2 linked regions of the Xenopus tropicalis genome follow. Each later gene encodes a partner of the first gene's protein in a complex. Links are inferred from orthologs where the notes say so. Each region holds a gene or a part of one and is shown on either strand. Other genes may lie near its edges. The genes, in order: pigp and pigy.

Region 1 (2,990 bases):
AGGCCTGCAGGCTCATTAAGGGACATGACAGAGGTAACTGGGGACACATTTGTATGCAACTATCTTTGAAGAAATAATTATCAGCATGGCTATATGCAGAGCTGGGCCAAATGCAATGGGCAAGCCCCCAGCCGTCATCTGCTAGCCAACCCCACCTCTCTGCTCACTGATTCTGATGCGCAGAGCCATAGAGGTATGGTGGCCATACACGGGACGATTCGCTTGTTTGGTGAGGTCGCCAAGCGAGCGGATCTTCTCCCGATATGTGGGAGATATTAGGCTAATTTGATCTTACGGCCCTAGGGCCAGATTCCATCGGATAAGGGAACGCATCAATGAGCCGATGTGGGGGGCCGGCTGGGGGTTCTTCTGGTATTCTGGCAGGCCCATGGACACTGCCAGAACTAGGGGGAGGCAGAAAAGGCACGTGCCTAGGGTGCAACAGTAAGGGGCACTAGGTAGGTACCTCTTCTGCCTACACCTAGTCTGAGCTCTCTTGCCCCACCTGCACTTGTCACTGCATGTCCCACCCACTTATCAAAGCACATATGCGTGCACTGAGGGGATTGGGGCCCCCTAGGGTGCCCGCACCATTTGGCCTACCTCTGAGGGTGAGAATCTTTAGGACCCTGAAATTCCATTTTTTAATCTCTGAAAGGTAAGCATGGTTGGTGGCATTGGAAAGGCTGCTTCAGGGTGCAGAATCGTACCTGGCCAGGCCAGTCCCACCCAGTTATTAAACCCCTTTAGAATATCATGTACATATAAATCATAAACATTCTCGTTTGCTATGTAGCACAGTGTTGCTTTAATGGATTTTGAATAAAACCAAGTGTGTTGAAATACAAATAGCAGGCCTCATGTTTGTATATACAGTGCAAATGACAATACTATAACGAAAGGGATAAAAGGCACGGCAGCTTCTCTGATCATACAGGAAAAACTTAAAGGGAAAGTCCACCTTTATATTAGCATTCAGTATGGATCCATTCTGAGCAAATTTGTAACTAGTCTCTATTAGTTATTTGGTATAGCTTGTCACAGAGAAACCTATCTAGTTTGCCATCTCTGACCCCACCAACCAGAAAAAGAAATCAATTTGGAGGGTTCAATTGTATTTGGGGTGGCCACCTGGCCAGTAAAAAAAATGCTCAAAGTTTTAATAGGAAAAAAACATAAAAAATCTAGGAAAGCCAGCATTTGTTTTTCCAGAAAAGGCAACAACCCTAATTTTACTGCTCTTATTTTTAGATGTTTATCTTTCTTTTCTAGCTCTCTCCTATTGATCTTCCATCATACTGATTTTTAAACTGCTAATTGGTTGCTAAGATCATTGAGCACTAGCAACCAGATAGCAGCTGAAATTCCAAGCCTCAGTGTTGCAGAGCAAAAAATGGTTTGTATGGGTTTTCAAAATGACAAATATTAAATAATCACTAATTGCAAACTGTCTTAGAATTCCAATAAAAGTGAATTTCAAGGTAAACTGCTTTTTTTTTTATATAGCAAGTGAAGTGGCAGCACAGTATAAATGTGACTGGGAGCATAGACCTCTGCAGAATCTGCTGTTCCCACATCTCCAAGTCTGCGCATTTGCACCTCTAAATAAAACACTTGCACCCATTGGTTTATGGGGCCCAAGTAAAAAAATAAATAAATAAAACACAGTCCAGAAATATATAGCTACATGAATTATCATAAAGAATGGGGTTTTGTGGGTCCGAAGGATCTTCCGGCATCATCTCTCAGTGAGGAAGAACATTTTATTAACCTCGCTGATGGAAATGTCCCTCAGTGCTGGGATGGCATCCTCTTGGCACGCCTTCTCTTGCTGATTTTTGGCATAAGAGTCTGGAAATTGTGGTAAAAATTTACAAATTACAACACTCAGTGGCACTGAAAGAACAGGTACCGCTGATCATCTATTAGCTCTGAGCGGCACTGGGAGTTCTTGAGGTTGCCCATAACTGCAATAAACTGCACTAGGATATTGGCCAATCTAGTGGCTGCTTTCAGTCTGTATACCCAGCATGCATTGCAATCCTTGGGCTGACAATGTAGCACCAAGGGAGGTTATTTACAGAATATATATATATATATATATATACAGTGGTGTGAAAAACTATTTGCCCCCTTCCTGATTTCTTATTCTTTTGCATGTTTGTCACACAAAATGTTTCTGCTCATCAAAAACCGTTAACTATTAGTCAAAGATAACATAATTGAACACAAAATGCAGTTTTTAAATGAAGGTTCACGTTATTAAGGGAGAAAAAAAACTCCAAATCTACATGGCCCTGTGTGAAAAAGTGATTGCCCCCCTTGTTAAAAAATAACTTAACTGTGGTTTATCAATTTCAATTTTCAATTTCAATATCAATTTCTGTAGTCACCCCCAGGCCTGATTACTGCCACACCTGTTTCAATCAAGAAATCACTTAAATAGGAGCTACCTGACACAGAGAAGTAGACCAAAAGCACCTCAAAAGCTAGACATCATGCCAAGATCCAAAGAAATTCAGGAACAAATGAGAACAAAAGTAATTGAGATCTGTCAGTCTGGTAAAGGTTATAAAACCATTTCTAAAGCTTTGGGACTCCAGCGAACCACAGTGAGAGCCATTATCCACAAATGGCAAAAACATGGAACAGTGGTGAACCTTCCCAGGAGTGGCCGGCCGACCAAAATTACCCCAAGAGCGCAGAGACAACTCATCCGAGAGGCCACAAAAGACCCCAGGACAACATCTAAAGAACTGCAGGCCTCACTTGCCTCAATTAAGGTCAGTGTTCACGACTCCACCATAAGAAAGAGACTGGGCAAAAACGGCCTGCATGGCAGATTTCCAAGGCGCAAACCACTTTTAAGCAAAAAGAACATTATGGCTCGTCTCAATTTGCTAAAAAACATCTCAATGATTGCCAAGACTTTTGGGAAAATACCTTGTGGACCGACGAGACAAAAGTTGAACTTTTTGGAAGGTGCGTGT
Region 2 (4,473 bases), on another chromosome or scaffold:
TAAAATGCATGTTAAATGAAACATGCATTTCCCAAAGCAGGGTCATATTATTTGCCTTTTACAGTGATTACATTTTTCTAAATTGCTATATAAAGTTTATCTTTTCTGCAAACTGTGTGTGATTTATTTTTCTAGTGGAATCCCCCTGAGGTGTGCTCCTCAGTGACCACTAGGTGGAGGCACTGCACTGTAAAACCCAGTTCCCAGAAGTGAGTGTAATCCAATTTCTGCAGAAGTGTGCCAAAAATAGGTTACAGGGGAAAAATGAGAGGATGATAGGTGCACTTTAAAGCTTATTTCCTTTTAAATGGAATTTGGTTCAAGCTACAGACTTAAGCCCTACCTCCCGTTTTGCTGCCCCAAAAGCTTGCTAGCCCTAGCCTCCCATATGTTTGTGCCTGAAACTGTTTCCCTATTTAAGGGGTAGCTTAATTAAATAGAAAAGTCATTCCTGAAAAATCCCTTGCTAGTTACTGGCTTTTACTAATGAGGGACATTTAACAATGAGGTGCTCAAAAGACTTCTGCCCTTTTAGATCAGATTCTGTTCAGGCTACAGACTCTGACCTTATCTCCCAATTTGCTGACAAGTAGCTTGCTGGCCCTATCCTCCCCTTAGTCTGTGCATATAACTGCGTTACTATTCTTTCTTGGGATAGCTTGAGTTGAAGGAAAAATATTAGTGCAGGACCAAAACAGCTCCCTAGTGTTCTGTTAATTCAACCACATCGGATTGTCCTAACCAAATAGGTCCCTAAACTCCACCTAACCCAGAAAACAGTCAAGCCACCCAGGGCGCGCTGGCTTTCTATTAGGGATGCACCGAATGCACTTTTTTTTTAGCATATGCTAATTAGGATACGGAAGGGTTAAATTTCTAACTTCCGTGTTTATGTGACAAAAAGTCACGTGATTTTTAAGATTCGGATTCAGTTCTGCCAGGAGCCGAAAAAAGCATAATCTTGGCCAAATCCTGGATTCGGTGCGTCCCTACTTTCTATCCACTACCTGACATATAATGAATAGAGTTGCCTCCCAGCAGTTATTTTACAGGCCTGACCAATAAAACTGAAATTTGATTCCAACAGTACTAATAGACAAGATAGCTACCAACAAGAGAAGGAATGGTATTTTTTGTAGAAAAGGTGGCAACACTAACAGTAATTCACCAGCTTCTCTATGCACACTCATGACAACCAGCTCCCCTAATGATCAAATACCCCTTGCAGCCGGTTAGCCTGCTGCCATGTTGTTTTAATTACTGCTGGCTTAGAACAAACTGGCCATACACACATCAATAAAATCATACAAAACCTAGTCTCAAACAATTTTTGGACCGTGTGTGGTCTCAGAATAATCGCCCCCAAAGTTTGTCAGAAGAAGAACTGAACTTGTATGGAAAATAAGGAAGATAAGATCCAGCCACAGCAATGTAAAATGTCCCTGTGCACAGGAAATTGCAGCAGACAGAACAATCTTTATCTAGTGTCCATTTTAAGATATCTGTGTGTGTTCAACTCCCTCCCCACCACAGAAGCCCCCCCCCAGCTCCCTACCTGTCACATACCCCATCCGACTAGCTCCATACTCCCCCTGACTTCCTCCCTGTTTTATCCATGCTGTAGCTTTCTACCTTGTCTACTCCCTACTCTGTGATTCTTTGTGCTGCAGCATTCTATACTACCCGCAACCTGTTCAGTGCAGTATCAGACTGGGCTGCTGGGGTACTGGGAAAAAAACCTGTTGGTCCCCGGCGGGCCAGATCCCCTCCCCCAGGGCTCTCCCGCGATCCACCGTCACCCTCCCCCAACATACCGCAGGTAAGTTTCTTTTAGAAGCATGGTCGGAGGGTGTTTGGGGCCTCTGCAGGGGTTGGGGGGGGCTGGGGTTCCTGAGGCAGAAGCCCCAGTGAGCCCTGCACCCCCCAGCCCGACCCTGTTTCTGTGTCCTATAGGGTTCTCAATTTATTGCCCATGAACCTTTTCAATGATCTATATATATGCTGTGCCTTTCCAGCTTTCATTTGTATTTTGCCTGACGAAGGGGCCTGGGTGCTTCAACACAGGGTCAGACTGCGGAGTGAAGGGCCCACTGGGGCTCCCGCCCCAGGGGCCTTGTAGGTGCCCGTGCAGGGCCCCCCACCTGACATCCTCCCCCGAGCGTGTAAATTTAACACGTCAGGGGAGGAGCACTCGGGCAGGGGGAGCATCGGCAAGGGTCGGGTCTGGGCCGCCAGGGCCCACTTTTCCCGGTGTCCCAGCGGCCCAGTCCGACCCTGCTTGGACAGCTTGCAATTTTTCTTACTCAGCCAATAAAAGGTATCAGATTTTCTGCATTGTTTTTAATGGCTAACACAGTACAACATCTTAATTCCATAGGATTCCACAGTGAACAAAGCTTTTTGCTTTTAACAGGAATACTGTTACTGTATTCCTGTTTACCTATAACTTATTTTGAGCACTGTTAGAAATTAAATTGCTACCACCTGTCAGGCAATGTGGGCTGGTACCTGGTTTAACACAAATACAGAAGGAAAAATCGCCTGGCAGTGAATGGGTTACATATCTGTGATCGCAGGAATCAAAGGGCAAACCAGATTCAAGCAATAATATCAAGTAAAGGTAGTTTAACATTACAGAAAGACTTTAATCACAACTCTTTCAGATATATTTTGAGGGTTTTGCAGGCTGTGGGTTTATATAGTTACATGCACATGGTAGGAACCACTGAGACTGCTTTGTGTCGTGTGAGGGGCTGTTTATAGTGCTGCACAGGAAGAAGGGGTGGAATCGTTCCTGGGAAGTAAAGGTTGTGTGTCAGTCAGTTTCTGTGCAGAAAGTGGAACATGCTGGCTGTCAGGGCATGGGGAAGAACATATAATACCTTAGTCCAGCGGAAACTAAACGCTGCCTGTCCCACTGGCGCCCTGCCAGCTGTCACACTGCGGCCCTTGCACTGCTCTTTAGTTGCCAGATCCCCGGAACAGAGCCTGAAGGACAGCAAGACGTTTGATCCTACCCTCTTGCAATTCCTGGTCTGCCCTCTCTCAAGGAAATCGCTGAGGTAAAATACCTGGCACTGGGTTAAAGGGCTCTGATACAGTCAGTATACTGCTGCTGGGTGGGGGGGTCATTAAGATCACCTATGATCCTAAGCATTGCTTCCCCCCAGAGGTGCGGGCTACAATACAAGGATACTGCCCCCTGCAGTGCTGGGCTGCCCCTAGTTTGAGCAAAGTGTCCCATCAGACTTGGGTTTCTCTGACTTAAAGTTATAGCCACGTATTGTTCTATTTATAATTTCTAATTAATTACCCTTTAGAAAGACTATATTGATATTAACCATTAGCCAAATGTTAGGGCTTATATTGAAAATATCGCTGCTTATTTTTATTGAAAGGGGAACTACAGTTTATGAACCAAAATTTGTTAAAGAGCCCAACACAGAAACCCCTAATATACCTAGCACTGTAAACTGTTTCTTTCTGCTAAACCTTCTAACCTTCTTTCTGCATTATTTAAAATCCTGGGAAGAGGATTAAAGAAGAGGGACTAAAACACTGATGTTACAAATTGTAACAACTTCTCCACATCTTACAGACAGCACTCAGAAACTACATTACCCACAATGCATTGCCCAGTGATGTTATTTTCCCTATTCCTTATTATATGTGCGGGGAATTGTGGTAACTGGAGAAGGCAGGCTGAGGACAGTCTACTGCATTTTATTTGAGTCTCAAAGTAGTCAGTCAGGTCAGCAGGGGAACAGGGTGTCCCATACACCTAAGCCTGTACTCTGTATAGGGAAATATTCAGTTTATTAACAGCAAGCAGATGTCTCTTTGCTATTTCAAGCTTAACTAGAACTCCTAAATGCATTTTATATATATTATATATATATATATATATATATATATATATATATATATATATATATTGAAAAAAAGACCAGCAACACCGGATCTATTGCAAACAATCAATTATATATTGAAAAATACATGAACAGCCAACGTTACGTTTCGGTCTTGAGAAAGGTCCCGACGGGGACCGAAACGTAACGTTGGCTGTTCATGTATTTTTCAATATATAATCGATTGTTTGCAATAGATCCGGTGTTGCTGGTCTTTTTTTCAATATTTAAACTCTTTTACCGTGCACCCGGGACAAGGATTGAAGCGGTGTGCCACCCTTGGCTCGATATATATATATATATATATATATAATATTGATTATGGAATGACGCTTGTGGTTTGAAATGTACTGATTTTGGTGATCAAATTTCCCGACATTAAATATAAACGGCTGTGATTCCCCATTCATTGATCCAGATCTGATTGTTTATATGTCATTTTTTTTCCCTAGATATGAAGAATCTACCAATGAGTTAATTAATGACGAGCTGGGTATAGCTTACCCAATTGTTGATGGCATCCCAAATATGATACCACAGGATGCCCGCATGATTCATAAAGATC

The links.
Region 2: pigp (region 1) and pigy share a complex: the UniProt entries of both Homo sapiens proteins name them as parts of the glycosylphosphatidylinositol-N-acetylglucosaminyltransferase (GPI-GnT) complex. The link is inferred for Xenopus tropicalis from reciprocal best matches to the Homo sapiens genes PIGP and PIGY.

Annotation. Positions count from the first base shown.
Region 1 is NC_030678.2:12,650,780-12,653,769, reverse strand, and holds the end of pigp (phosphatidylinositol N-acetylglucosaminyltransferase subunit P), read right to left. Parts: intron 1,852-2,990; coding exon 1,739-1,851; 3' UTR 790-1,738; downstream 1-789. UniProt on the Homo sapiens protein: Part of the glycosylphosphatidylinositol-N-acetylglucosaminyltransferase (GPI-GnT) complex that catalyzes the transfer of N-acetylglucosamine from UDP-N-acetylglucosamine to phosphatidylinositol and participates in the first step of GPI biosynthesis.
Region 2 is NC_030677.2:67,794,265-67,798,737, reverse strand, and holds the start of pigy (phosphatidylinositol N-acetylglucosaminyltransferase subunit Y precursor), read left to right. Parts: upstream 1-1,621; 5' UTR 1,622-1,819; intron 1,820-2,801; exon of another isoform or gene 2,802-2,844; coding exon of another isoform or gene 2,845-3,062; intron 3,063-4,360; coding exon of another isoform or gene 4,361-4,473. UniProt on the Homo sapiens protein: Part of the glycosylphosphatidylinositol-N-acetylglucosaminyltransferase (GPI-GnT) complex that catalyzes the transfer of N-acetylglucosamine from UDP-N-acetylglucosamine to phosphatidylinositol and participates in the first step of GPI biosynthesis.